Lonchura striata: one gene and its partners. The protein of the gene in region 1 interacts with the protein of each later gene in a pairwise test. Links are inferred from orthologs where the notes say so. Each region holds a gene or a part of one and is shown on either strand. Other genes may lie near its edges.

The links.
Region 2: the proteins of TEX11 (region 1) and ZNF414 interact in binary tests that used the Homo sapiens proteins (3 or more experiments, as listed by UniProt). The two-hybrid records come from large-scale screens. The link is inferred for Lonchura striata from reciprocal best matches to the Homo sapiens genes TEX11 and ZNF414.
Region 3: the proteins of TEX11 (region 1) and ATXN3 interact in binary tests that used the Homo sapiens proteins (3 or more experiments, as listed by UniProt). The link is inferred for Lonchura striata from reciprocal best matches to the Homo sapiens genes TEX11 and ATXN3.
Region 4: the proteins of TEX11 (region 1) and NEFL interact in a two-hybrid assay, tested with the Homo sapiens proteins (2 studies listed by BioGRID and IntAct). The two-hybrid records come from large-scale screens. The link is inferred for Lonchura striata from reciprocal best matches to the Homo sapiens genes TEX11 and NEFL.

What each region holds. Positions count from the first base shown.
Region 1 is NC_134616.1:19,168,206-19,175,800, forward strand, and holds the start of TEX11 (testis-expressed protein 11), read left to right. Parts: upstream 1-4,588; 5' UTR 4,589-4,613; coding exon 4,614-4,644; intron 4,645-4,737; coding exon 4,738-4,925; intron 4,926-6,900; coding exon 6,901-6,985; intron 6,986-7,595. Other genes in the region: nuclear cap-binding protein subunit 2, read right to left, coding at 2,269-2,367, 3,027-3,165, 3,944-4,125, 4,293-4,379. UniProt on the Homo sapiens protein: Regulator of crossing-over during meiosis. Involved in initiation and/or maintenance of chromosome synapsis and formation of crossovers.
Region 2 is NC_134630.1:3,385,574-3,392,584, forward strand, and holds the start of ZNF414 (zinc finger protein 414), read left to right. Parts: upstream 1-3,994; 5' UTR 3,995-4,104; intron 4,105-7,011. UniProt on the Homo sapiens protein: May be involved in transcriptional regulation.
Region 3 is NC_134608.1:16,336,763-16,344,468, forward strand, and holds the start of ATXN3 (ataxin-3), read left to right. Parts: upstream 1-4,705; 5' UTR 4,706-4,732; coding exon 4,733-4,756; intron 4,757-7,706. Other genes in the region: CPSF2 (cleavage and polyadenylation specificity factor subunit 2), read right to left, coding at 170-318; NDUFB1 (NADH dehydrogenase [ubiquinone] 1 beta subcomplex subunit 1), read left to right, coding at 2,198-2,337, 3,466-3,502. UniProt on the Homo sapiens protein: Deubiquitinating enzyme involved in protein homeostasis maintenance, transcription, cytoskeleton regulation, myogenesis and degradation of misfolded chaperone substrates.
Region 4 is NC_134634.1:2,824,521-2,832,258, reverse strand, and holds the start of NEFL (neurofilament light polypeptide), read right to left. Parts: upstream 3,010-7,738; 5' UTR 2,974-3,009; coding exon 1,924-2,973; intron 356-1,923; coding exon 231-355; intron 1-230. UniProt on the Homo sapiens protein: Neurofilaments usually contain three intermediate filament proteins: NEFL, NEFM, and NEFH which are involved in the maintenance of neuronal caliber.

The DNA of each region.
Region 1 (7,595 bases):
TCCATAGGCACATGGTGACATCCCTTATTTTGTTCCCAAGAGCTGAAGAGCTGTTGGGCTTCCCTATCTTCCTGATGACTTTGGACCCCATTATGCCAGCATCAGAACAGCCAGTAAGGATTCCATATACCTGGTGGCTGTATTTTTTGCCCATCTCAAAAGTTCTGATGAGTTTAGACTGGGTGGTTTGTGTTTCTTGCCTGAATTCCCTCACTCCTTCCTGCATTTTCTTTTCTCGAGGACCAGCTTCTTGATGGAACCCTTCTCCCTCCTCCCCTAATAACTGGTGATACAGACCCATTGTCCACTGGGTTTTTTCCACAACTGGGGCAAGCATCGTTGATCCTGTTTGGGCCCCTATCTCTACTATCACCTCAGATGGAGTTTGTCCCCAGTCTCAATCAAGTTACTCTCAGAGGTGGCTGGGGTTCCCGAGTTAAACACAGCCCTCTGGCATCCCTGAACTGTGGCTTTGCAGGCACATGCCAAGCCCCAGTACAGTGCCAGAACCTGCTGGTTTTCACTGGGGTAGGCACCTTTGGCATGTCAGTTTCCCAGGGTTACTTGCTTGTTCAGGTGGAGTCCCAGGCTATGGGAGGTGATAACTAGCCCAGGCACTTGCCCAAATCCTGCCACCCACGGACCAGCCACCTCAGGGCACATTTCAGTATTGACTCACCCAAAAAATTGTCTTCTCTTACATTAGGATGACATCAGAATACACAGACCCCATGATATGTCAACTGTGTTAATTACTAGTATTAAACATCTCATGTAAGGCTGAGCAGGAACAATAAAGCCACCCACACCAGGTGGGAGTGGGAAATGGGATCCTCTCCACAAGGCAGCTCCCCCAGCAGAGCAAGGCCATCTGTGCCAGGGCAAAGCACAGAGCCATGGTTTGTACTAACATGTTCCCAAAGCCCAGCAAAGTAAAGAGATAAGAAATGCAGCCAACAAACACCGTGACTCAACAGGAGCTGCCTACTTAGTAACTACTATGGCTAAAGCACACTTAGCACAGAACAGCCATTGCCTCAGGCCCCACACTGGGCACTAAACTGTGGTGGGCTGACCCTGCCTGGACACCAGCTACCCACCAAGCTGCTCTCTCACATCCCTGCTCAGTGGGAGCGGGGCAGGGAGAAAGTAAGATGGGAACGGAATTTGTGGGCCAAGATAAAGACAGTTTAATAAAGCAAAAGCAAGGCTGCATGTGGGAGCAAAGAAAAACTAAATATTTATTCTCTACTTTCAACCAGCAGGAGATGTCCGGCTACCTCCTGGGAAGCACAGCTTCAGTACACAGAGCAGCTGCTCCAGAAGACAGATGTTTGAATAAGGAATGCCCCCCATGTCCTTTCTCTTAGCTATTGCTGCTCAGCAGATGCCATATCGTTTGGAATATCCCAAGATCTTGCCCCCACCCCAGCCTGCTGGTGAGGTGGGAATGTCAGAGACAGCCTTGATGCTGTGGGAACAAAAGCCAAAACACTGGTGTTTTATCAACACCTTCCTAGCTACCAATACAAAACACAGCTCTATGAGGGCTGCTAGGGGTAAAGTTACCGTCAGACACAATCTCAGTCAGACCCAAAACAACTGTTTATTTAAAAAAAAAAAAAAAAAAAAAAACCAGAAACTTTTAACAAAACCACACCGAACAGTGAGGATCCGAAAAGCAAGGCAGCACTGGGGGCATCACAAAGAGAAATGTTCTGCAGGCCCTGACCAACCCAAGGGCTAGATGTGCAGACAAGCACCTCCAAGCGCGTAAGACCTTGTCCACTTCTCTCTCATTCAGACAGTGATACTGTTTATTAAGCAGGTAAGGTTGTAAATTAGAAACCTGAATCTCTTGTGCATCCTCACTGGGTGCCCAGGCACCTGGAGGGCTCCAATGGTGGCAAGCTTTTAAAAAAAGTTCAGTTTGAAAGCAACCACAGTGGCAGCTGCAGCTTGGAGGAAGCCACCTGCTTAAGTGCAACACGAAGAGTATGTCATAGCATAAGATGTGTGTGACATGCTACATTTCTTCTTGCCCAAAATCCTACAGAGCTGTCCATTTTTCCCTTGTTGCCCTGTATCAGCACAGAACATCCCCTCTAGCTCAGAAAGAAGGGAGAATGAACACATGTATATCTGCAGTCTAAGGAGAGTCACCTTTTGCAGGAACTTGGATTTCACTCCATACCCTGAACCCAAATGTGAGAACAGGGCTAGCTCTGGAAGGACAGAGTCCTCTGTGAGCTAGGAATCATGAAGCAATTAATAGATTGCAGGCTGGTGATTTGCCTTCTGCATCTGAATGATCTTGCCAAAGCCACCTCTTCCCACATCGTAGTCTGTCCGGTATTCATCTCGCACCTGGGGCACAGCAACAACACATGTATTAATAGCCAGCACTGCCTGTCCCCTACTAGACTTCAGAATCATCATCCCCTCCTTGTTCAGTTGGTGGGGAACTGAAGTTCAGATTAGAAGCACTTCAACTCGTCTGAGATCTCTTCAACTAATCCACCAGAAACGTGGTAATGGTGGTGAAAATGACCAAAAGGATGTATCTGATTGTTGAGAATTTTTCAGGTAAGAAGCAAAGAAGACCCCAAAGTATTTTTGTTCAGCTTTTCCATACACCCTTTTGAACTGCCAGATTTGGCCTTCAGAACATTTTATCTCATCTAAACCTCATCCTTGCCCTTGGGGAAACTGCTGTTATTGAGATTGGCCTGGCAGCCACACTGCTTCCCTCTACTCAAATTCTGGATCATTTCAAAAGTACTAGCTTGGTTTAGGGAACATTCTGCTTGCATTGCAGGACTTTTGGAGTCCTAGACAGAAGTGGCCTTAAGTTCTATTTCCAGCCTTTAACACCAGGTGTCAATTACCAAAACAACCTGGGAGTGAGTAAACTTCATTATCAGGTCTTTACAGCCTGCACATTGTTCTCCCTAGGACAAAATCAGCAAGTAAGTACACGGAGTCTTAGAGGATCAAATTCAGGGATGAACTGGCATTGCCTTTACCTGTCCTCCAGTCTTTCCTCTCCCATACTGTCGCCCCTCCTTAAACCCTGCATCCCAGTCCGTGCGGATGATGCGGTCGTCCAGCCGTGTGCCGTTGATAAACCTCATGGCATGCTCAGCATCTGCTCTCGTGTAGTATCTGAGGCACTCTGTAAGAACAACTAAGTGTGCTTTGTTGGGTACAGGGAAAAAAAACAGGGAAAGTATTGTATTTGAGAAGCAGAACTCCCCCCCTACTGCCTTCCAGCCTTTTCTACTCTTCCTGCTCTTCTCTATGAGATCAAAAACTGCACTCATGTAAATCTAAGCTAAGACCAGCTAAGGCTCAGAAAGGATTCTGTACTTTAATGTTAGTACCTGCACAGACAAGACAACGAAACAAGACATTAAAGCCTTGCTAAGGGCAAGAAATCAGTAATATGCCTTTTTGTACTATGTAAAGCTTGACTGAAATAGAACAAAAGGAGCAGGCTTCACAGGAGAGCTCTGCATAGACAGCTCCTGGCACAACCTGTATAAGCATGTACCCTTTGCTTGAAAACGCCCCCATGGCTTATCCAGCTACTTCCTTCAGGTGTAAAGTTGAGATAAGAAAGTAAACGTGCTCTGGACATGGAAGACATCAGACTGATGAATGTAACAGCTCTCATTCTGGCCATAAAACCATTAAACGAATGAATTAAAGGGGCTCTCTGCCGCCTCCAGAAACTACAGCTCTGGTGGCACTTGTCACGTATGGCACCACTACACAATCGGTCTCAGGGCACAGTGAGGAAGGGGCAAGGATGGACGGGATGTGCCTGGTAGGAAGCACTTGGCTATCACCTTTCCAGCAGCAGTACAGATACACTTGCAGTGCAGAGGAACTACAGGCGCCAACCACATCCCTACTGACAAAAGGGAACCAGAAAGGATACTCTACAAAGCAGAAGCCACAGGGGGTTTTCTTGATCTTGTCCAGACCCATGACAATTCTCTTGACATCTCCGCACTTGGAGAACAGCTCCTGGATCTGCTCCTCGGTGGTGTAGAAGGAGAGATTACCGACATACAGCGTGGAGGAAATCTTCAGGGATTTCTCCTGCAGCTGCCTGCTACCCTGCGGGCACAGAGGCGCACGCCGCGGGCTCAGCGCGCTCGCCGTCCCGCTCCTACCGCCCCGTGCCCTCCCGCTGCCCGGCTTCTCGCACGGCCTTGCCCCGGCCTCAGCCCTCCCCGCCCCGGCCGGGCCGGGCCGGGTCCCGCCACCCGCGGCGCCGGGCGCACCCGGAAGTGCTGGTCCCGGTACTGGCTGATCTCGCAGTACGAGTCGCTGTTGAGCCCGCTGAGCGTGGTGTGCAGCAGCCCCGACATGGCGCCCGCCGGCCCCACCGCCGGGATCCTTCCAGAACCGCCGCGCGCCGGACGCGGGGAGCGGCGCGCGAGAAACGCCGCTCCCGCCCCGCGCGATTGGCCGCGCCGGCTGTCACTCAGGCGGGGGCGGGGCGGAGCCGCCGGACAGCCAATCGGCAGCTCGGGGGCCCGCCTGGAGCGCTGGGCTGGGGCGCGCAGGCGCAGTGCGGGGCGCAGCGCTCCCGCTGAGGGGCCATGGCGGGGCCGCGGGCGGCGGCCGCGGAAGGTGCTGTGGGCCCTGGGCTCTCCCCGATAAGCGCCGCCCCTGGCGGCTGACGTTGGGCTGCGTGTCATGCCCCGCTGTCCTCCTGTCTTACAGCGCTGGTGCAGGAGCTGCTGAGGGAAGAGGCGCCGTCCCGCATTGCTGCCCTCGCGGAGGAGCTGTTCCAGGCGGCGGAGAGCATCTCTGAAGGGGATGGGAAGGTGGCGGAGGGAGAGTCCCCCGCTCCCAGCCCGTCTGAAGAAACGGGGCGTGCATGTGCTTCGCACCCCACAGCCCTGGCCCAGGTTGGTGCTGCAGCTCCCTAAACACCAGCTGCTGCTGCTGCTTCCCATCCTTGGCGGTGAGGCTAAAAGTGTAACACTACTGAAACGTAAAGAAAAGAGTTCACTTCTTCGTCATTTGCCCCAATAGCGTAAAAGTCCAAAATAAAGTGGGAAATGTTATTTTTAAAAGTCAATGTGAAATGATCTTGAATGTAAAAATATGTGTGTCAGTAACTCTGCTCTCATGAGACCCCACCTGGATACTGTGTTCAGGTCTGGGGTCACCAGCATCAGAAGGATGTGGACCTGCTGGAGGAAGTCATGAAGGTGACTGAAGGGCTGGAGCACCTCTCCTGGGAAAGGCAGATCGAGTTCAGCCAGAAGAGAAGGCTCTGGGGAGAACTTACAGCACCTTTAGTGCCTAAAGGGGTTCCAAGAGAGCTGGAGGAGGACTTTGGCCAAGGGCTTGAAGTAATAGGAAAAGGGGAAATGGCTTTACATTGAAAGTAGGTTGACTTAGATTAGATATTAGTAATATACTGTGAGGGTGGGGAGGCCCTGGCAACAGGTTGCCCAGAGCAGCTGTGGCTGCCCCATCCCTGGAAGTGTCCAAGGCTAGGTTGGACAGGGCTTGGAGCAACCTGGTCTGGTGAAAGGTATTGGAACTGGCTTGTCTTTAAGGTCACTTCCAACCCATCCATTCTATGATAATAATGGGAAAAAATACTGGTTACTTGTGCTGTTAAGGTATATATTATTTCAAACTACTAGTAGTATCTAGTTGTAATTTCAAGGAAAAATGGAAGCAGAGAGCACTGATGCATTAAGCATTTGGTACTGGATCAGAGGAGAGGCCCTTCTCACCTTGTCTGTGGATTCCCATAGTGACAGCAGATAACCCAAGGAAGAAGAAAACAAGCAAGCATGTAATTTTAACTGCCTGGTAAACAATATTCCAGTACACAATATTATATTTGAGGTACTAATTTTCAGTCCTTGCTAAAGTTTATCAGATGGTTGTTCATAATGTTTGCTTTTTCCTTCTGTTTATTTCTCCTAGAGGAGTACTTAGAAAGAAGTAAACATTACTTTTAAAACTCTTTTTTCAAAGAGAAATCTGGTAATATATGAATCTGAAATAAGGAAGAAGACCAGCTGAGATATAGTCCAGCTTCTTCCTCTAAAATTATATTTTCAAGAGACATTTAATAAGTAGCAATTATCAGCTAAGGAACACTGGTTTTGGAAGTCCTAAATTTGCAACAAGGAGCAAAATAAGTTAGCAGGTGTAGCAGAAAGTGTCAATAGTACAGTTTGTAAAGAAATACAAGAGCATAAAAGTGCTATCCTTAAGTTCTTCCTGAGTCAATTGGGGTAAATTATTTTTGAAGAAAGGAGAAATCATTCATTTGTAATCTGGCCACTTCAATAAGAGGGGCTATGAACTCTCTCCTAGATAGGCAAGATCTCTCATGAAAAGTAGAATAAAGTGATGGAAAATGCAGCCCCTCAGGTGGGTTGCTAAAGCAGATTATTGCTTTTATGTAGTGTTGTATCTTTTGAACAAGAGTATATACTCAGTAACCTTTGTTCTTTGTTTGCTAATATCCAAAGTTTCCCAGTGTAGGTATTTAAAGTAATTAAGCTACTTAGTGTTCTTTTTGATGTGCAAAAGAGGTGAAGCCTTACTACAGGTCGTTCTCAAATGTGATAAGAATTCTTAGAGTTCTTTTCCAACCCCTTCAGATTTTAGGTGAAGAAATGCTGCATCCATTCAGCATGCCTGTTTTCAGGTCACTGTCCAGCATGTCCTGTGGGATCCTGTGACAGTTTTATGGAAAGCTCACACCTTTCACTCTGGTGTAAACGGAAGTTGACAAACACTTGGAGAGGCCATTCCTGTGAAACACATGAAAGATGCTTATTTTTCAGTAGTAAATTTCAATTGGATCCATATCCGGGACAAAATTTAATTGAGTGGAATTCTCCCCTTCAGGTTGAAGAGAGTGCAGTCAGCTTGTGGAACTGGACTGTGACCAAACACACAGCTGCTGTTATCAGTGATGAGCAAAGAGCCAAACGTATGTATGTTCTGTACCTTCCTAAAGGTGTTCTATGTGCTGTAGCATGGAAACTAAACACTCTCTGCTGCCAGGCACATAAGTAGTGCTGTAGATTTGTTTGAGCCTTTGTAGACATGGTCTAGAAAGACAAAAATGTACTGGTGGGCTTGTATAAACAGTTCAAGAAGAAGCATCCTAATGCAATACTTATCTTCTTGTGACACAGAATCAGTGTAGGCATTTTTATCACTCTCCTTTCCATGCCAGAGCACCAGTAAGGAGGTGATGAGACCAAAGGAAGCTGTAATTTGCCTTCTGAGACTGTGGTTCAAATCTAAAAATGTATGGAAATAACACAGATAAATTTTAGACCGTTGGTCACTTAATTTATATCAAGTGAGATAGTTACATTAAAAAAACAATCTCATCCACGTTTACATACAGAAACATTCTAAGTCCTCTTTTTATTGACCTGCTTTAGCCAGGTGCACAGCTGGTAGGTTCTCTTGGGCCAGGGGCAGGGCTGGGGGAAAGCAGAAATGAGCTTTTGGGATTTTGCCTTAGTGTGTTCTTTCTGTGGTTTTGTGGGATTGCAGTGTCAAGCCTACATTCTTGTCCTGAGGGATTA
Region 2 (7,011 bases), on another chromosome or scaffold:
GGGGTGTGGGGTGCAGAGTGTGTGGGGTGTGGGGTGTGTAGAGTGAAGGGTGCGGGATGTGGGTGTGGGGTGTGAGGTGAGGGGTGATGGGTGTGGGATGCGGGATGGGGTGAGGGGTGCGGGATGTCGGATGTGGGGTGTGGGGCTGGGGGTGCAGGATGTGGGGGATGTGGGGGATGTGGGGTGTGTGGGATGTGGGATGAGGTGCGGGATGTGGGGTGTGGGATGAGGGGTGTGTGATGAAGGGTGTGCAGGGTGTGATGTGGGGTGTAGGGTGTGTGTGTGGGGTGTGGGGTGTGTGGGGTCGGATGGGGTGTGGGGTGTGTGGAGTGAAGGTGCGGAATGTGGTGTGGGGTGTGAGGTGAGGGGTGTGGGGTGTGGGATGGGGTGACGGGTGGGGGCCGAGCCCTGCCCGGGCCGCCCCGGGAGGATTTCAGCGGCAGAGGGAGGGACGGGCCGGGAATGGACGGGCCGGGAATGCCCGCCCCGAGCCCGGCCCTGCCCGCCCCGAGCCCGGCCCCGCCCGCCCCGAGCCCGGCCCTGCGCCGGAGGAAGTGACGGGAGCGTGAGCGCACAGAGTGCGAGCCCTGAGCCCGGCCCGCCTCTTCCTCCGTGAGCCCGCAGAGCCCGAGCCCACAGAGCCTGATCCACAGAGCCTGACCCTACAGAGCCTGACCCTACAGAGCCTGATCCTACAGAGCCTGAGCCCACAGAGCCTGATCCCACAGAGTCTGATCCCACAGAGCCTGATCCCACAGAGCCTGACCCCACAGAGCCCGAGCCCACAGAGCCTGACCCCACAGAGCCTGATCCACAGAGCCTGATCCTACAGAGCCTGATCCCACAGAGCCTGACCCTACAGAGCCCGAGCCCACAGAGCCCGACCCTACAGAGCCTGATCCCACAGAGCCTGATCCACAGAGCCTGATCCTACAGAGCCTGAGCCCGCAGAGCCTGACCCCACAGAGTCTGATCCCACAGAGCCTGACCCTACAGAGCCTGATCCCACAGAGCCTGACCCTACAGAGCCTGATCCCACAGAGCCCGAGCCCACAGAGCCTGAGCCCACAGAGCCTGACCCTACAGAGCCTGACCCTACAGAGCCTGATCCCACAGAGCCTGACCCTACAGAGCCTGATCCCACAGAGCCCGAGCCCACAGAGCCTGAGCCCACAGAGCCTGAGCCCGCAGAGCCTGATCCTACAGAGCCTGACCCTACAGAGCCTGATCCTACAGAGCCTGATCCCGCAGAGCCTGACCCTACAGAGCCTGATCCCACAGAGTCTGACCCTACAGAGCCTGACCCTACAGAGCCTGACCCCACAGAGCCTGAGCCCACAGAGCCTGACCCTACAGAGCCTGACCCCACAGAGCCTGAGCCCACAGAGCCTGACCCTACAGAGCCTGACCCTACAGAGCCTGATCCACAGAGCCTGAGCCCTCAGAGCCTGATCCCACAGAGCCTGAACCTACAGAGCCTGATCCACAGAGCCTGATCCCACAGAGCCCGAGCCCGCAGAGCCTGATCCTACAGAGCCTGACCCTACAGAGCCTGATCCTACAGAGCCTGATCCACAGAGCCTGAGCCCTCAGAGCCTGATCCCACAGAGCCTGAACCTACAGAGCCTGATCCTACAGAGCCTGACCCTACAGAGCCTGAGCCCACAGAGCCTGATCCCACAGAGCCTGAGCCCACAGAGCCTGAGCCCACAGAGCCTGATCCCACAGAGCCTGAGCCCACAGAGCCTGAGCCCACAGAGCCTGACCCTACAGAGCCCGATCCCACAGAGCCCGAGCCCACAGAGCCTGAGCCCACAGAGCCTGAGCCCACAGAGCCTGACCCCACAGAGCCTCAGCCCAGAGCCCAGCCCTTCTCTTCCTCCCTGATCCCACATCCCAGCCCTCCTCTTCCTCTGTGCGCCCACAGAACCCGAGCCCACAGCCCGGCCCTCCTCTTCCTCTCTGATCCTACAGAGCCCATCCCTCCTCTTCCTGATCCTACAGAGCATAATCCCACAGAGCCTGAGCCCACAGCCCAGCCCTCCTTTTCCTCCCTGATCCCACAGCCAGCCCTGTTCTTCCTCCCTGACCTCACAGCCCAGTCCTCCTCTTCCTCTCTCCCTCCCAGCCCGCTCTGGAGCTGTTCCCATGTCACACAGACCTTCCTCCCCACCTCAGATTTGGGGTCCAGCGGTGTTCTGCGCATCCTGTGTCCTCCAGGGTGGGATTGACAGAGGGCACAACCCCACTGGGATGGGAATTTTCCCGTGGAATTCCCAGCTCCTCACAGCCCCACGCTGGAAATTGTGGGTTCCCCCTCCCACCATGAGGGGGTTTTTCAGCCCCTGCACTCCTCGGGGTGATTTTTCTTGTAAATCACAGCTTTTTTAGGAATACTTGCACTGCAGAGTGCAAGAGGGAGGTGTCTGATTTGATTTTAATGAAAAATATTGGCTTTGGGAACTGAGGATTGAGGAAATCCTGCACCTTCCAGCCCTTCCTGGGGGCTGGGGATGGGGATGGGGGCGGTGGGTCCTGGCAGGGGGATGGGGATGGGAATGGGGGCGGTGGGTCCTGGCAGGGGGATGGGATGGGGACAGTGGGTCTTGGCAGGGGGATGGGGATGGGAATGGGGGTGGGTGGGTCCTGGCAGGGGGATGGGGATGGGGGCGGTGGGTCCTGGCAGGGGGATGGGGATGGGGGCAGTGGGTCTTGGCAGGGGGATGGGGATGGGAATGGGGGTGGGTGGGTGGCAGGGGGATGGGGATTGGGGTGTTGGGTCCTGGCAGGGACACGGGAACTGGGCCAGCTCAGGCACTCCCTGGGCTGCTCCCGAGGGCTCCAGGGGCTCCCAGGGATTTGGGGTCTCTCAGGGGCTTTTGTTGCTGTGAGGATCCTGGAGCATCCTGGGCTGTTCCTTGGGGCACACATGAGCTGGAGGGGTGGTCCCAAAAATCTGGGGTGCTCCCAGGAGCCCAGGGTGTTCCCAGGAGACCTGGGTGCTCCCAAAAATCCAGGGTGTCCCCAGGAGCTTGGGGTGTTCCCAGGAGTCCGGGGTGTTCCCAGGAGCTCGGGGTGCTCAGAGGGCCCCGGGATGCTCCAAGGGTCCAGCACCTCCCACAGGGCTCTGTTCCCTCAGAGCAGCCCCGGATGCTCCAGAGCTCCCTGGACACTGCAAAGCCCCAGGATGCCCTGAGGAGTCTGAGATGCTCCAAAGCCCCCCAAGAACTCTGGAAGCCTCAGGATGCTCCATGAGCCCTGGAATGTTCCAAAGTCCCTGGGGTACTTGGCAGATTCCTTGGATGCTCCAAAACCCTGGGATGCTCCAAAATCCTGGGATGCTCCAAAACCCTGGGATGCTCTAAAGCCCTGGGATGCTCCAAAATCCTGGGATGCTCCAAAACCCCTGGGATGCTCCAAAGCCCTGGGATCCTGCAAAACCCTGGGATGCTCCAAAGCCCTGTATCCCACAAAACCCTGGGATGTTCAAAAACCCTTGGATGCTCCAAAACCCCTGAAATTCTCCAAAACCCCCAGGATGCCCCAAAACCACTGGGATGCTCCAAAACCCTGGGATCCTGGAAAGCCCCCAGGATCCTCCAAAACCCTGGGATACTCCAAAACCCTGGGATGCTCCTGAATGCCTTTCCCTCTCCGGGATTCTCTAAAACCCCCAGGATGCTCCAAAACCCTGGGATAAACCAAAACCCTCGATTTCTCCAAAAGCCCCGGGATGCTCCAAAACCCCGGGATGCTCCAAAACCCCCGAGATTCTCCAAAACCCGCAGGATGCTCCAAAGCCCTCAGGATGCTCCATAACCCCGGGATGCTCCAAAACCCCGGGATGCTCGAGCTGCCCGCAGACGCCGGGATGCGGGTGCGGAGAATCTCCCGGGAAAAGCAGCCGGGAGAGGGGGGGAACGGGGCGGGGCGGGGCCGGTCCCCCCCCCAGGCCCCCGCCCGCCCTTCCGCACGTTCCTTCCTCCCCCCGGCATCCTCCTCCTCCTCCCCCCGCTCTCGCGACAGCTCCGCACAGAAAATGGCCCCGCGGCCGCCCCGCCGCTGATGCGCGACCCGGGCGGCGCCGGCCCCGCCGCAGCCCCGGTACGGCCGGGAGGGACCGGGAGGGACGGGCGGGCACCGGGGCAGGACCGGGACCGGGGAACGGACCGGCACCGGGAATGGATTGGCACAGGGGGTGCGCAGACAGCCGGAGATTTACCGGCACCGGCGGGGGTGTACCGGCAACCGGGGGTGTACCGGTATCGGGGGTGTACCGGCGCCGGGGATGTACCGGTATCAGGGGTGTACCGGTATCGGGGATGTACCGGTATCAGGGGTGTACCGATATCAAGGGTGTACCGGTATCAGGGGTGTACCGGTATCGGGGGTAACCCGGCATCAAGGGTGTACGGGTATCAGGGGTGTACCGGTATCGGGGGTACCCCGGCACCGGCGGGGTGCTGGCACCGGGAAGGGAGCACTAGTACCGGGGGATGTAACGGGCCAGGGGTGTACTGGCACCGAGGCTGGATCGGTACCAGGGATGAACCAGCACCGGTACCGGGGGATGGACCGGCACCGGGGCTGGAGCTGCCCCGGGGCCAGCAGCGGTACCGGAGCGGGGCCCGGGGTACCGGGGCTCTGCAGGGAGCCGGGACCTGCGGCAGCCCCGGGGCTGCTGCCCGCGGGGGCTCCAGCCACGGGGTCGCTGCCCACGGGCTGGGTGGCCGTGGCTGTCACCACCCCCTGGACTTGCAGCCATGGGTGTATGGCCCGTGGGGGGCTACCAGCCCCAGAAACCAGTAGCCAGGGGGGCTACCCTGGGATTGTCACCTGTGGGGCTGACAGGCACAGGGGGCCACGGGAGCCACTGCCCTCGGTTCAGCAGGACCCCCTCACATCCCGGGCTGCCCCTGCCGGGATCTGCCCGTGCTCCCTCCATCCTGCCGCGCCTCTGGGAGCCGCTTTGGGGCTGTCCGAGCGGGGGGATCCTGCCCTTGGCCACGGGGTGAGCTCGCCTGGTGCTGGGCTCAGCTTTGTCCAGGCTCGGGGAGGGAGCTCCAACATCCCCCGGTGGCTCCTGAAGGGAAAGCGGGGCTTTTTCCCAGCTGATGTGGCCGGGTGGATGGGCAGGTAAAGGTGGGCACTGGGGTGGTGTGGGAATGTGGGGAAATGGCAGCAGGGCTTGGAGCACCCTGAGGGCCAGTGGGGACCCCCAGGCCAGGGATGTGACACCAAGGCCGGGCACGAGGCTCAGCACTCACCCCTCTGGATGCCCACCCTGGCTTTGGGGGGTGCTCCTCAGGCTCCTCGGCAGATTGTGAGCTGGAACGCAGGGAACCCCTCCAGGGAGGGGTGGCACCGCAGGCAGCAGCTTTGCCCCAGCCCACGGCCGGATTGGGGCACCCACCTTGCGTGGGACACCTGGAGCATCCTGCCCCCGGCACCCCCAGCTCGGTGAGCTGCCGGCGCTGCCTGAAGGCTCCAGGAGAACGCACAGGCTGTGTTTTAGCTGGGCTGGTGGCACTGCCGGCGCTTCCTCCCCCGATGCGATCACATGAGCCCCTTGTTCCCAGCCTTTGTCTCAGCTCTGCGCCGAGGAGCCGCGGCTGGGGGCAGCCTCCTCATCCTCGGGCCTCAGAGATGCTCCAGTCGGATTATTTGTGCCATTTATCCTCGCGGGGTGGGTTGGGCAAAGTCTCAGGGTATGGATAAAGCCCCCCCCGGATGGTTTGAGGGGGATGAGCTAATTATTGTGCTAATTATGGTGTTAATTATTCACTGAATCAGCAGCACAGACTCCTCAGGGTGATGGGCAGATGCAAACATCCTGCCTGCCCTCATGGCTGGCAGTCCCTGGAAGGGTTTTTGGGGTCCCTGTTCACCCCACAGGGGTTGGGAGGAGGGAGTTTTGTGCCAGCAGCTTTTTGGGGAGGCAGGAAAATGCTGGGGATAATGACAGGGACAGGATTTGGGTTCCAGGGCAGGTTTGCACTGGTGGTCACATCTTGGGGGGAGTCATATTTCCAGTGGGGTCCTGTCTCTGGGGGAATTGTGTCACCAGGGGGGGTGACATCTCTGGGGCAGTGACATCTCTGGGGCAGTGACATCTCTGGTGACCACGGGAGGTCACTGGGGATGGGGACAGTGGCAGCTCAGCAGCACCTGGGTGGGGTGTCACACTCAGGGCTGCAGAACAGACAGTGCTGGAGGAGGGGCAGTGTTGGCCACCATCCCAGGGGAGGTGACAAATGACAGCAAGATGATCCAGGTGCCACCTGCTCTCTAAAAACCTGGGCTGGGCACAGGGCAATGCCACAGTGCTGCCACCGTGTCCTCTGCCATGTCACCCGTGGGGAACGTTGGGGCCAAGTGTCCATCCCGCCTGCCCTCACAGGATCTGCTCAAGAGCTTCTCCAGCTTTTCCAGAGGGAAAATATCATTTTACAAGGCATCACTGGGATGCTGCAACAGGGAAATGGAGAGTGGCATCTGTGATCCCAGAGGTTCCAACATCTCAAGGGGCTGCTGCCTTTGACCCTGGGGCTCCAGGAGCTCCTGTCCTCTGCTGCTGATGGGGAAAAATGTCCTGATTTCTTGGGGAGACTTTCCTGTGCTGCCCCTGAGCTCTCAGCACCGTGGCCCTGCTCCTTTTGGGCTCATCTGGAGCCTGTCGGTCCCAGGGCTCTGCCAGCCCAGGCTGGGCCACCCGGCTCTGATCCAGAGGGGCTTTTCCAGCAGGGCAGCAGGAATTTTGTCTCACTGCGCTCTCCAGCACCGGTGCTTCCAGCTCTCACACATCAGGATTGGGCACCAAAACGTGGCCATGCCACAGGGACACTGCCCAGGGGCTGGGCAGGCAGGCACAGCCCTGCCTCAACCTTTTCAGCATTGTCTCCCTCAAAAAGAAGATTCCCAAGACCCTTTTTCCCACCAAACCCCTCATTTCTACCTGATGAACAAAGCTCCATCAAAGCTGCTGGGAAATTCCCGTGTTTACCCCATGTC
Region 3 (7,706 bases), on another chromosome or scaffold:
TTCTGCAGGAAATGTTTCAGCAGTGTGATACCCTTCATGTAAAATATACACAAAACAAAACAAAAGAACAATTTTGCATTTAGCAACACTATACCACTGCGTGGAATTTTGAAAACTTTTAAGATAGACCAAGCCCTAATTTAACAGGTGTATGAACTGAACTACTTACTTCCTCAGAGAATCAATAATATCCATAGAAAAGTTTTCATCCCAGCCACAGTCCAAAAGAAAACGAAACTCATCTACTTGCAAAAGATAGCAGAGGGCAGATTCCTCCTGCACCCCCGAGAGCGTAGTCAACTTGATAATCGATGTCATTTTCCTCTCCAAGTGTTTAATCTCCAAAAGAACTAATCTGAATGGGGGACAAAATGTTTCACTTAGATGTTATTTAGATCTAGCTTCACATATTCCTGAAAATATGCAGGCTAACGGTGTTAATACTGTTCAATACAGCTGCTAAAGTCGCAGACATTAACATTCTACTCTTGCAGGTATTAGAAAGAGGTGGGGTTAATTTTCTACAATAAATATCAAGAATAATTTTAAAAAGGATCCCTAAGAGCAGCGCGGTTAACAGCAGCTCCACGGAGCTGGATGGGGGCACCCAGAGATGGCACATCCAGGGCCGCGACCCTCCAACCCAGGCCTGCCCGACCATGGGCACAGCGCGGGCCGGGCGCCCCGCGGGGGCTCCGGGGCTCCAGCGCCCCACCGGGCCTGGCGCCCGGGCCTGGCCTCTCGCCGGGCGGGGACGGGGACACGGGGGCGAGCGGTGCGCGCACTCCAGTCCGAGACGAGGAGAACAAGGGGAAGAGGAGGATGATGATGCGAAGAAGCCGGTACCTGCCGCCCTCAACCACCCCCAGCCCGCGCCGCGCTCGCCGCCATCTTGCGGGGGCGGGGAGGCGGGGCAGCGGGCGGAAGGGTAGCGGGCGGCACCACCGCGAGCCTGCCGGGGGGAGCGCGCTCCTCCCCCGGCCCCGCGCAGCGCGTGGTCTGGCCCGGCCCGCCCGTTCCCGGTGCCCTTGGCGCGGCCGCTGCGGTCCCGCTGCGGCGCGAGCGGCGGTAATGGCGGGGTGGCGCGGGGCGGGACCGCTGTCGGGCCTGCCGGGAGCGCCTCGGCCGGGACACGGCGGCGGCGGGCGGGCGGGAGCGAGCGCCCCTCAGCCGTGGGGCTTTACGGCGGTCGGGTCCCGGGCAGGCCGGAGGCGGCTGAGCCGGGAGGTGGTGGGGCCGTGCCGCGAGTCAGCGGCCGGGCCCGGGGCGGGGGTTCCGCAGGGGTGCCCGCCTGTCCGCCTGCCTGTCCGCCTGCCTGGCCGCCCCACAGCGGCCGCGGCGCGAACGGCGGCGGAGTTCGCCCCCGGGAGCCGGCCGGGGTCCGAGCCCGCGGCTGTGTGACAGACCTCACTGCCATCCCGTGTAATTCCCTAATCTGGAAGGCTTTGGTTGGGTTGGGAAGGTTTGCTGGGCCCCTATAGTTTGGAGAGGTCTGCGAGGGGATCTCACTAATGGGTGTAAATATCTCAAAGACGGGTGCCAAACTCTTTTCGTTGGTGCCCAGCAATGGGACAAGGAGCAATAGCCATTGCTAAAACACAAGAAGTTCTGCCTCAAGACGAGGAAGAACTTCTTCAATTTGAGGGTTACAGAGCACTGGAACAGCTTTCCAGAGAGGCCGTGAAGTCTCCCTATCTGGAGACATTGAGAAACCACCAGGATGTGTTGACAGAGAGGTTGGACTGGATGATCTCCAAAGGTCCATTCCAACTGTAATGATTCTGTCATTCTGTGATTTTAGAAAAGTCCTTTCTTATCTGTCAGTCTCTGAGACTTGACGCAGATAATGAAGTCTCCTTCTACAGAAGTTTAGGTTATGAAAGTGTTTCTAATGCTTTACAGAGTAGCAAACTTCTATAGAATTGCTTTAAAGAGTAAATTAAAGAGATGTTTTATTTCTCTCCTGTTTTAGGATGAAATCCTTTTTCCCAGGGTTAACATTTAGGATTATTTCTAAGAAGGCCGGGTATGGGTTTGAGAGCAGCATGTTTCTCCCAGGAAGTGTTTGATAGCCTTCATGTATATTATGTAATTGTGGAATCCTAATAAGTGAGAGTAAAGGTGCCAAGCATGCACCAGTTTCCAAGTGCACAAGTATTAGTACCTCTTACCTCCTACACTTTTCTTTCTAGCAGTCATGGTGAATTTCGCCCAAGCTGTGCGTGAACACTGGGTTCACATCCTTGTTCCCTTAGGATTTGTGATTGGATGCTATTTGGACAGATGGAATGATGAAAGATTGTCTGCCTTCAGAAACAAGAGCTTATTATATAAAAGGTCTGCTTTATGATGCCTCTTGTATACGTATATAGTTATTATTCAAAGTGCTTCTCAGTTCTTTTTTAGTCATGATTGTAACCAAAAAAAGGGAAGAAAGGCCTAAAAATATCAAGCATTCATGAAGTGTTTTAGGTCAGTAATACCCTCTGAAAACGGAATCTTTAGAAGCTATCATCTTCATGAAAGAAAGAATCATTAACTGCTGTCAAGTTCGTGGTCATGAAATATGGAAACCATTATTTTAACTCTCTGTAACTTCAGCAGAAAACACAGTGCTTGAGTTTTTATTTTCTTTCTTAAATTTAAAATTATCACAGTGCTTTTTGACAAAATTCTTTTTATAAATGTGTGTTACTTAAAAGTAATTACCAAGTCCTTGAAAATTAACATACAACCTGCTATGTCTTCACTGAATTATGTGATTATATACACTGATGAGTTTGGGTTTTCTGGCTCTGGTTCCTCAGGGAGTATTTACATCAGAGAACTTCAGGCATTGACTCACCTGTGTCAGTTCTAATTCTGTATTAGGTCTTGAGGTTAACAAAAGAGGAGAGAAAAAAGTCATGTTGCAGAAACTGATAGTAGCTATCAGTTTTCTAGTGGATTTGTCTTTCCTCCTCTGGCCTCACCTAAATTCATTTTGAATAAGAAAGAAAGCTTTTGACATAATCCACTCCCCTGATACATTAGCACTTTTCTTAATGTATTTGTTAGTGAAGTTGGGCTGCTATGTCGGTGTCTTGTAAAAATCCCTTCTTCTTTCACATTTCTCTTTCCACTAAAGTAATGAATTGTTACATTTTAAAAAAGTAGAATTTTTCATTTTGGATCCAGTTAAAAGTCTGTTAACTACTTAGAAGTCAGCTGTTCTGTGCTTCCATTTAAATGAATGGAAATTCAGAGGACTCAATCCATTGAAGCTTTTGAAAGAAAGGAGGAAGTTTATCAGTATGGAAAGATTTTTAACTGACAGCAATTGCAAGGAAAATTAAATTTTTACATAAATCTCAAATTGAAGGTATGGTTGAATGTAAACTAACACAAATATTAATAATTATTCTAAAAATAATGATACTAATTTTAGTCTCTTCCCTCTTGTTTTTTGGGTTTTTTTCTACACAGGGAATTGAAGCCTGGTGAAGAAGTAACTTGGAAATAAAAGCTGATGATGAAAAGGAAGACATTTTTGTTTGATTCATCGTCTTACATATTGAAAGAACAGGAATATGATTTTTACCCTGAGAGGATACTACAGTAAAGGACATCTGCAGTTCATCAGTGCTAGTTTAATATCTGGTGTTACTTTTTGAAGATGATTTAATTACATGACTCATATATGTTCAGGAGTTCCATTAGTCCACAAGCATTGAGAGAATTTTCTTCCTTACTCTGGAAAGGAGAGGAAGAATTATAGAATAAACTATGCAAAAATCATTTATGTTGGTATTGCTGTGTATGGTGTGGAATCCGTGTGTTTATAGCTATTTCATGAACTAGCCTTCAAAGAAATACTTCCATAAATCCAGAATGTGTTTGACAGGTACTGAACCTGCTTAAGTTGCTTTCTGGATTGTCTCTGTAGGCTTGTTTGGAATAGTGGTTAAGCAGTTATTGAGGCTTTGTGAGCGGACCAGGAGGGTCTAAGGAGTGCGCAGCTGGTGAGCACAAGGCAGGAGCGGTGCCGGGCGCCGCTCCGCTCGGTGCGGGGGAAGCGGCGCGGGGCCGGTGCGGATAGAAGCGGCGCGGGGCCGGTGCGGATAGAAGCGGTACCGGGCCGGTGCGGATAGAAGCGGTACCGGGCAGGTGCGGATAGAAGCGGCGCGGGGCCGGTGCGGATAGAAGCGGTACCGGGCCGGTGCGGATAGAAGCGGTACCCGGCCGGTGCGGATAGAAGCGGTACCGGGCGGTGCGGATAGAAGCGGTACCGGGCCGGTGCGGATAGAAGCGGTACCGGGCCGGTGCGGATAGAAGCGGCGCGGGGCCGGTGCGGATAGAAGCGGCGCGGGGCCGGTGCGGATAGAAGCGGTCCCGGGCCGGTGCGGATAGAAGCGGTACCGGGCCGGTGCGGATAGAAGCGGTACCGGGCCGGTGCGGATAGAAGCGGTCCCGGGCCGGTGCGGATAGAAGCGGTCCCGGGCCGGTGCGGGGCCAGCCGGCAGAGGAGCGAGCCGGCGGCGGGTGTCGCTCCCCGCGGGCGCTGCTGCCGCGCGGGGGCGCTCGCGGCCAGCGACGGTTTAGCCCGCCGGCCTCCTCTCCGGCAGGGGGCGCCAGAGCGGCGGGCGGGCCGGGCGCAGCCGGCGGGGCCTGCCCTGCGCGGCCGGGGGGCGATGGGCGCTGCGATTGGCCGGGCGGGTCACGTGGGGCGGGGGCTGCGGCTGCCACAGTAAACATGGAGTCGATCTTCCACGAGCGGGTGAGCGAGGGAGGGAGGGAGCGAGTGAGGGAGGAGCGGGCGGATCCCGCTGCCTGCCCGCCTTGGGTACAGCGCCGTCGGTTGTGGCCTTCCGGGCCGCCGAGACGGGGGAGGCGCGCGAGCTCTCTCTGAGGATCCGCTGGGGCGGTGCCCGGGCCTCCCGCCCCGCGGGGCAGCCCCCGGAGCCCCGGGGTGCGCTCGGCCTGTGTCGGGCCGGGCCGGGCCGCGCTCTCCTTCCCTGGCGTCTCTCACCTCCGGCAGTGGCTTGCCCTCTGCCTTGGGCGAAAGCCAGGCCCCTCGCGCGACGGTGCCTGTGGCCCGTCCCAGCTGGACGTTGCCGTCCCTTCCAGCCCTCCAGGGAAAGGACAGTCAGGGCTGAGCCTCGGTGTCTTCTTTGGCACGGGAACCGTGTTCTGGGGACTGCAGAAACAGCCCCCGGGTGTGGGGAAGTGTAGGCTGCAGCTACTTCTCTTTCCTGAGAGAGAGCTCGCAAGGCTGAGAAATGAGTACGAGGAGAAGCAGCGGCAGGCGGGGCTGTCCCTGTGCGCTCAGAGCCATCTCGTCACCGAGCCTGGCTTGGCTGGGCTTGTGTAATGAGCACGGACTGGGAGAACCGCTAGAGAAATCGCAGTTCATATAATGTACTTCTGTGTGCCGAGCAGTATTTCCTGTTTTGGAGGAAAATGCTGCTGTGAACTGCTGTGTTTTATCCAGGTTCCCAAATATGACCTATTTCTGTTTTAATGCTGTTCAAAGTATAATTGGATTTTTTCTTGCACTTTGCCAATGTCTCTTCAACTTTATTGTGTTAATACTAGTTCTGTTACTTTGTTTTGTTATGTCGAATTTATTTAAGAAGTCAAGTAAGATAGCCGTGTGCTGTCCTTTAAAAAATTGCTGTTCTGAGATCCATAAAAACTGGGGAGTGCTCTTTCTGAGTAGGTTTGGGTTGCAAAATTTGGCGAGTGTTGTGGTGTTAAGTAGCTGCTGTTCAGAGGGCGAGTGTTGGATTTCAGCTGTGATGGCCTCTGCTTCAGTGACCTTCAGTCTGGCTTTGAAAACAGTTTAACAGATGCACTCTTCTTACGTGGCCTTGTCTATCACAGTATGAATTAACTTTTTATTACTGAATTGCTTTCTAGTTTAATAGCAAAGCTTGTGAAATTGAAGTGACAAAGCATAATACATTCAGAGTTACAAGGTGAGATGGTAACTTGTACTTTCTCTGCCTTCTGGGGAAGGGTGAGTTGACAGTCTCTCACGTGAAACATACCTGCTCCCTGGCAAGTTAGTAACACAGTTAAAAAGTTGCACATCAACATGTTTTAAGTTGGAAAGCCAAACATTTTTATTCTGTTATTATTTTAGGGAAAATCTAACTGAATTATTCTTTTTCTTAAGGGGTATTTTTTCCCCCATCAAGTGCTGTCAGAATATTTAGAAGCACTGCATGTTCCTGAGTCTGCATACTCCAGTTGTTTTGATAGAAACACACGAGGGACATGGTATTTATTAAGAAAATTTAATAAAACAACCAGCGTTGTGGCCTTTTTAGAGACAAATAGCAGTTGCAGAAAGTAGGATTTAAGTATGGGGCTTCAGGAGTCCCAATCTGCAAAGTTTGTCCTTTCCTTGGTAAGATAAAAGTGATCAAAAACATTGAAAGCAGGGCAGCATTTTATGTCAGGAGAGGTTTCAATGAGAGGATTTCAGCTTATGGTAAAGAAGCAGTGTTCTCTGCACAAAACAATGGAAGTTCATGTCAGTTAAATACTGTAGGATCTCTTTTTTGCATTTGGCACTTCATGTGTATGACTTTTACACATGAGAATTAAGGTTTATTACTTTCAGATAATGCTGTACAAATACAGAAAGGTCCTTTTAGTGAAATTAGTATGTAAGCATGTAATACAACTAATTCCAGTGGTATTTTAGTATCTCTCTCTTTTTCTATCAGTTTCATGTTACTCCAGTGAGGAAGCCTGTGATTGTTGAGCAGGTTCTTCTGTTCTTCTGTTGCAGTTTGGTCATATGACCAGCAGTAGGGATGTGGTCCCAGAGGGACAGAAATTTGTGTTTAGTCTTGAGTTTCTTGCTGCAGGAAGGGCATGAGCTGGAGGAGGCTTCTGGATTCCACTCAAGCCTGGCTGTACAGCCAGTGCAGCTTCAGTAACTCATTGTTCAACTGAGCGATGAAGCCATAGGAAGATTCTGGAATAAAGAGAACTTTTGAGGTTTCAACTGTAAGGGAGATCATGGGAGAGTTCTACATATGATTTGTATGATGCTTTTATGGAATTTTAAAGAATATTCCTCAAAGGCATATTTTTGTATTCTTAGTTTCTGTGGGGCTGGCTTGAGGGAGGGGTGTCAGATTTTTTCTTGAGGGGTTTTGTTTTTAATGAAGAGCATGTGTAGGAGAGTTCTTAATGTAAATAAAAATGAAATGAAGACTGATTAAAACAAAAGAGAAAAGCAGGATTTTAAAACTGATGTTACTTGTCTTGCACATGTAGTTACAGTTATTTGTAGGAAAAGGTTCCTTTTCATGAGAAACTGCTTTGCTTGGTTTATATTGTGGTTTGTTTTTAATGAGACAGTGTTGTATCTCATATATGAAAATGTTGGAGCCTGTCATGCATTCATTCAGATCAGAGATTTTTTTGAATTTGTACTAAAAAATCATGACTGACATTGTTAGTTAACTCTTTTAAAATTTGTGCCAGTGTTTTAAAAATCTTACACTATAGTTCTATTACCTGTAACGTGTTGCATATGTAACCAAGTATCTGGAGTGTTTTTTATTTGAATGGTCTATCAATAAAAAAAAATATTTATGTTGTTTAATATGCTGAATTTAATATTTTTCTCTTGTTTCCCCATAATTGTTTTCAGGATTTTCAAACTAGTGGCATGATTTTATCTACTTCCTCTATGTAAATTTCATGTT
Region 4 (7,738 bases), on another chromosome or scaffold:
ACACAAAACCTCTCCCCCAAGTACAGAAGAGGTACTTTTATCTGTAAGGATGGAGAACTGAGATCATTTATTGCCAAGCTAAAAATTCTGTGTGCACATAGAGAGGAACTGATTAAACTGCCCCAGACCTATGAAAATTTCTGCTGGGGCGATGAAAAATAACCTGAATTCTCCTGAAGAGAATGGGAAGTGCTCTGAGTTCTGGCTCATTAAAACATCCCCCACCATACCTATAAGCTGCAATTTCGATGTCCAGGGCCATTTTCACATTGAGCAGGTCCTGATATTCCTTCAAGTACCGAGCCATCTCACTCTTTGTGGTTCTCAGCTCATTCTCCAATTTGTTGATTGTATCCTGTTGGATGGAACAACATTGACAGCATAAAATTCTGTTCTCAAGCCTAGCAATAATCACAGGGAATTTCTCCAATCCTTTTAATTTAATCTTGCTCTAGCAGGCAGAAACTGCACAGCTCCCACTCTCAGCCAAACAGCATCATTTAACACCTTCTTGGTAGGTTTTCTACCCCACATTATTCCAGTTCTATTTAACACAAAAAGCCAAATTTTCTGGTACCCAAGTGCTAAAGCACAGTGAAATCTGTATTTTGTTTCATTTTGATTTTGACCTTTATGTACTTTTTTTAAATTTTAGCTTAGGGATATCCATTGTTAATTCTTGCGGGTCCCTTCCAACTCGGGATATTCTGGGATTCCATGATTTTCTGGTATAGTTCTGGCTGCATCAGTACATGGACACATGGATATTGAGCTTTATCAGGGGCATTTTGCATTCTGATTTTATAACAGCTCACACTTTAGATAAGCAGTACCAGAACTAATGTCTGGGATGATTTTGATAATTCAGATCCCGATTTGGGTCTGTATTTCCACACCACATCCTCCTTTATAGCTCTGTGGCATTCTGCACTGGGATTTCAGGATGCCTTATCTGCAGAGATGCCCCCGACAACGCCCCCAAACCCGATCCCCTCATCTGTGAGGCTCTGCAGCCACGACTCCCCTCACCAGCAAACCCTGACCCCCCTCACCTGCAAAACCCTTCAAACCCCGACATCTCCTCACCTGCAGATCCCTCCAAAGCCCAACATTCATCCCTTCACCTGCAGAGCCCAGCAAACCCTGACCCCCCTCACCTGCGGAATTCTTCAAACCCCAACATCCACCCCTTCACCGCCAGAATCCTTCACACCCCAATGTCCATTCCTTCATCTGCGGAGCCCAGAAAACCTTGGAACCCCTCACCTGCAGAACCCAGAAAACCTTGAAACCCCTCACCTGCAGAACCCAGAAAACCTTGGAACCCCTCACCTGCAGAACCCTGTAAAACCTGAGCCCTGTCCCATGCAGAGCCCTGCAAACCCCATCACCCCCTCCCCTGCAGAGCCTTTCAAACCCCATCACCCTCGCATCTTCAGAACCCTTCAAACCCCATCATCCCCTCACCTGCAGAGTCCTGCAAACCCCATCGTCCTTGCATCTTCAGAACCCTTCAAACCCCAACTTCTCCTGACCTGCAGAGCCTTTCAAACTCCATCATCCCCTCGCTTGCAGAGCCCTCCAAACCTCATCACCCTCGCACCTTCAGAACCTTTCAAACCCCATCATCCCCTTGCCTGCAGAGCCTTTCAAACCCCATTATCCCCTCACCTGCAGAGCCTTCCAAACCACATCATCCCCTCACCTTCAGAACCTTTCAAACCCCATCATCCCCTCACCTGCAGAGCCTTCCAAACCCCATCATCCCCTCACCTGCAGAGCCTTCCAAACCCCATCACCCTCACAACCTTTCAAACCCCAGCTTCTCCTGACCTGCCGAGCCCTGCACACCCCCTCATCCCCTCCCCTGATGGACCCCGACCCTCGTCCCCTGAGGGACCATCCCAGCCCACGCCCCCTCACCTGCAGCGCGGAGATATCCGCGCTCTGCTTCTCCTCCAGCTCCTGCAGCTGCTTCTCCAGCGCCTCGTTCATGCCGCGGGTGGCCTCGATCTCCAGCGTCTTGGCTTTGAGCAGGCGGCGGCTCTCGGACACCTCGTCCTTGGCGGCTCGCACGGCGTCCGTGTTCTTGGCGGCGCTCTCGCTGAGCACGGTGAAGCGGCTGCGGAACCACTCCTCGGCGTTCTGCATGTTGCGCGCCGCCAGCTTCTCGTACTGCGCGCGGATGTCGCGCAGCGCGGCCGACAGGTCGGGCTTGGCCGACACGTCCATCTCCACGGACAGGTGAGCGTACTGGATCTGCGCCTGCAGCTCGGCCAGCTCCTCCTCGTGCACCTTCTTGAGGAAGGCCAGCTCGTCCAGCAGGCTGTCCACCCGCTTCTCCAGCTCCGCCCGCGCCAGCGCCGCCTCGTCCGCGCCCTTGCGCACCTCCAGCAGCCGCGCCTCCGCATCCTCGCGGCTCAGCACCTCCTCCTCGTAGCGCGCCTGCAGCCCGCGCAGCGTCTCCTCCAGGCTCTCCCGCTCGCCCTGCAGCGCCTGCTTCTCGCTCGTCGCCTCCTCCGCGGCCAAGCGCAGCTCGCGGATCTCCTGCTCGTAGAGGGCGCGGAAGCGGGAGGGCTCGGCGTGCTTCTGCCGCAGCACCAGCAGCTCGGCCTCCAGCACCTTGTTCTGCTGCTCCAGCTCGTGGACGCGCTCGATGAAGCAGGCGAAGCGGTCGTTGAGGTCCTGCAGCTGCGCTCGCTCCTGGCTGCGGATGGACTTGAGGTCGTTGCTGATGGCGGCCACCTGGCTCAGGTCCAGGCTGTCCACCGAGTGCAGCAGCGAGCCCGAGGCGCTGGAGGCGGCGTAGCTGCGGCGCACGGACACGGAGGACACGGGCGCGGACAGGCTGGAGTACGCGGAGCGCGCCGAGCCGAAGCCGCCGCCGCTGCGCACCGACACATGGATGCGCGGGCTGTCCGCGTAGCGCCGCTTGTAGGACGGGAAGAACGGGTCGTAGCCGTACGAGCTCATGGCTGCGGGGGCTCCGGAGACGGCTCTGCGGCGGGCACCGCCCGCACCTCGATATTTATGCGCGGGGAGGGCGGGCGGTGCGGCCGCCGGGCGGGGACGGGGCGGAGCGCGGAGACACCGCGGCGGGGAGGCGACGCCCGGAGCGGTCCAGGCACCGCCGCCGGGAGGGGATGCCCGGAGTGATGCAGGCATTCATTCCCTCACTGCTCTGATGGCCTCAGCGGCACGGGCAGGACCTCGCCCCAGTGATGCCCGGGCAGCTCCGGGCATCGCGGCAGGGAAGGGATGCCCGGACAGCTCTGGCCATCACGGCAGGGAAGGGATGCCCGGACAGCTCCGGGCATCGCGGCAGGGAAGGGATGCCCATGCAGCTCCGGGCATCGCGGCAGGGAAGGGATGCCCGGACAGCTCTGGCTATCACGGCAGGGAAGGGATGCCCGGACAGCTCCGAGCATCCCCGCGGGCGCGGGGAGCTGGGACCGGCCTACTCCGGAGCAGCCTGGGCTCGGCCCCACCTCATCCTCTCAGCCCTGTCTCAGCCCTCCTTGGGCACAGCCTGGGCCCTCCCGGGGCATCTCCCGGCCCCCCTTCGGGGCCCTTTCAGATCCAGCTCCCCTCAGGTCTATCTGCACCCTGCAGCCTGCCAAGGCTGTGTTTAACACCCCGGCTCTGCTTCTCCACAGCTGCCCTGGCAGAAGCTTCGGGAATGTGCTGCAAGCTCCAGCACATTCATTGTGGCTGAGGTTGCCTCGGTGAGGCTGAGGGACACCCAACCCTGGCTGCAACTCAGAACCTCCAGATGTGTAAATAGTATATTTTTTTTCCCCTTCAGTTTGCAGTTAGCACAAGCATGAGTGCTCTTTGAGCCCCTGCATCTTCCCCATGTCCATTGTTACAAGTGGTCCCTAATAACCAGGGATTATAGCATCATGGAATCGTGGAGTTCTTTGGGGTGGGAGGCACCTTAAAGCCCATCCAGTCCCACCCTGCCATGGGCAGGAACCCTCCCACTGTCCCAGGCTGCTCCCAGCCCCATCCAACCTGGCCTTGGGCACTTCAGGGGAAACCCAGCAGAGTTATTTGTCCTTTCATTGCATGAAAGCAGCAGCAGAAACAGGGCAGTTCTCAGTCCTGGCTGATACCTGGTTCCTTGAGGTGCCCTGGAGCCGAGTCTGTCTGAGACATGGATCACAAGGACAGGATATTTATCCTTGTCTAATCTGGCTAATACAGAGATTAAATTGGACAGCTGCATTGCAGCTACCTCTGGGCCAGGCTATTACCACTGCTTGATTAAAGCAAAGCAGTATTTATGTAGTAAGGATTGATCAGAGGGAAATTAGAGATGTATTGAGCACAGGCTGCATGGGAGGCTCAAAAAGAGAATGAGAATTCACCTCTTGCAGTCAGAAGGGCAAATATATCACAAAACAGCCTCTTCAAGGGTTTCTCAAGGAAGGAATAAAAGTCAGTAAAGATTGGGGGACATTTATTAGATACCACAAAAATGCTGAGGTGCTTCCCAAAGAAAAGGGAAGGACTTAGTAATGTGTATGAATTAATGTGCCTGTCAGTAATTGCAGTGGTAATTGGCTATTTCTGGCACAAAGAAATGTTTATTTAATACCAGCCTTTAGGAAAGATAGAGCAGGGTGGATTTAGTGTATTTCCTGCTATTTTCCAGAGACCTCACACAGAGCGTCACCTGTTGTGTGACAGCTTCTCCATAAGTTTCAGGGTATTTAAACACAAGGATCATTGATCTGTGAAGGGCAACGGCCCCTCAGAGGTACAGAGCTGCAGTCCCTGCTCATCAGAGCTCATTCTGCATGGAATGAACTGTACCAAGAGCTCATCAAGGCTTAAGTGCCACTTCTATCCCAGCAGAGCTGGTGGGAGACTTCATTCTGCAAATCTGCAGAGTCCTCCTGGCAATAATGCAGCTGCTCTCAGCAGCCAGCCCTGCAAGCCCGGCTTCTTTCTGCCTCGATTTTTATTCAACATTTGTTTTTTAAATTCGAGTTGTGGCTGCATTCATGCATGTCAGAGCAGCCATTCATTATTCAGAATATGCAAAGGAGAGCAGCATAGGTAGAGTCTTCTGTGTTAATCTATTTTATCTTTAGCAGAGATTGGGTTTGAAAGGGGAAGAAATGAGGAATAGAGACACTGCAGAGAGGAAGATTCCCAGCTTGTTGGTCAGGATCTCAGGGAGCTGATATCTTCTGGAATACTCAGCCCCTGCAAACTGAAATACCTTGTTTCATGCCAATGAATTTATGCTAATCTGCCCTACAGCAACCTGAGCACAAGATTTAATTATTAATGCTATCATTTCTTATGCCATGTATTAATAAAGGAATGTACCTCAGCTTGTAAAAACCACTGTGCTTCAGATCCCAGCAAAGCAAGCCTTGTAATTGTGTAATTGTAGGCTGTTAATATCCCTTCTTGCATTTTTTTTGGAGTGGAAAATCCTTTGCTGTGTTCCAGGAGCATGGGGAGGAAGATGGGTGTCAGCAGACAGCCCTGCAGTGTGGAACCTCCGTGGGACTCAGGGTGGGGATGGAGCTTTGGCACTCCAAGGAGCAGAAATCCACTCCTGAAGGCATCCTGCTCTCCAACCTTGTATTTCCAGGCACAGGGGAGTGCTGCCAGATTCCACCACTCCCTTTGTGTCCTTTTTGTTGCTTTCTGCCTTAATGCAGAGCATGAGCAAGCCCCTGGATGTGTGTTAGAAAAATCAATATTGTGAGCAGAGGAAGGGCATAAAGCAGGCCAGGATGGAGTGGCCTGTGCCACTTGTCTCATCTGAGACACCAGGAGCCACAGCAGGAGCTGGGTTTAAGCCAGCCCTGACTTTAACCCCCACTTAAGGCCCCCGGATGATCTCAGTTGAGCTGAGCTTTGTTGTGCCCTAAAAAGCTGCTCTGGGAACCAATCTGAGCAGCAGCTCAGCACTGTCCCCCTTTGCCTCTGGAGGTGAAGCTGCTCCCTCACCACTTGTGAGTCTCCCCAGGTCATCAACCCTTCAGGCAGAGAATCCCAAACCCAGCTTCACCTCTTGAAAACATTCCCTGGGTGTCCCAAATAATGCAGATTATTCTGAGGGATGATGCAGAAATGACAAAGCAGCTGTGCCCCATCCCTGGAAGTATCCAAGGCCAGGCTGGAGCAGCTTGGGACAGTCCCTGTCCCTTGGGAGCTGTCCCTGCCCATGGCAGGGGTGGCACTGGGTGAATTTTGAGGTCCCTCCCAACCCAAACCATTCCATGATTTCAAATCCCACTGCTGCCCGAGGAAAAGCAGCAACTCCGTGGCAAAATATTTCTGTTCATTCCTTTTCCTCTGCTGCATCCATAAATAACACATCCCCACCTGCAAGTGGCATTTCCTCAAGGAAAAGCTCAGACCTGAGCCCTGTGCTGAGCGCCAGGAAATTACCTGAATGTCCCCAGTGAACTCTGTGGGGATTTGCCTTTTTATCCCTTTTTAATCAAAGAATTTCATGTTAGAAACTGCAACAGGGACATTTCAGTCTTCATTGTCTGCTGCTGCTTTTATTGCAGAAGCACAGAAGGAGCTGTGCCTGCTTACTTGGGATTTACACAGAAATCAAGCAGTCCTGAGTAAAAAAACAAAAGCAAAAACATTGGTTTTCCTTTAAAAAAAAAATATTTCTACCTCATAAAAGCCCAGCTCTGAGGGAGTGGGGAATCAGACACTCCCACATCTAAAAATGTTCAATAGCTCTGATGTCAGGTCTTATGTATTTATCTAAAATTATATCAAAGTGTCTGCATGAGTTGAATTAAAAAGGCAAAAGAAAATGCTCTGATCTATTTTGATGAAATGAAACAAAATCTCACATTTTAGGAATTCCTTTTCCTGTATTCCAAGTAGTCCTTTTAATATGAGGCAACACTCACAGGAATTTCCAACCCAAAGCAGAATTTTGTCTGCAAGGACTGAACTACAGCCTCTGGGAGACTCAGAAGAAATGCAAATAAGTGTTTAATTTATCTCCTTTGAACCAGTCTTTGCTTTGTTGGTGCCAGATATAGCAAGTGCCTGGGCAGCTTGCATTATTTTATTATTATTTACACCAATTTCTGCACACAGTAGCAGCAAATTGCTCACTTTGAGTTTGTTCTCTCTCTTGATTACAGGAGCTGGAGTAAGCAAGCAGCCAGTTCTTTCATCTGAGTTCTATCAGGGAACGCTTAATTAGAAGATTCATTAATTAGCTTTGTTTACTTGTTGGATCAGGCCTCCAAACTAGACCACAACATCTGATGGCAGATCCCAGGGCTGGTTCTTATCTCACACAATCAATTAAATTGATGTTCTGCTTTTGGTTCCAGCAATTAAACATCAGCTGAGAGGGGTTTTGGCCAGATCCTGGAGTGGTTTGGGTGCAAGGGACCTTAAAAAACATTTTTATTCCATGTCCTGCCATGGGCCCCTTCCTGCAGGCCGAGCTGCTCCAGCCTGGCCTTGGGCACGTCCAGGGATGGGGCAGCTTCTCCAGACAAATAAAACTCCTGAAAATAAACCCCTCCCAGCCCATTTGGAAGGAGACAATTTATTAATTTGCAGTCTCGTTGCTTTAATTGCATTTCTGCCCGTGTGAGGAGCAAGGGTTGGACCCAAGGGCACAGCAGGAGCTGGGTTCAAGCCAGCCCTGACTTTAGCCCCCACTTAAGGCCACCGGATGATCTCAGTTGAGCTGAGCTTTGTTGTGCCCTAAAAAGCTGCTCTGGGA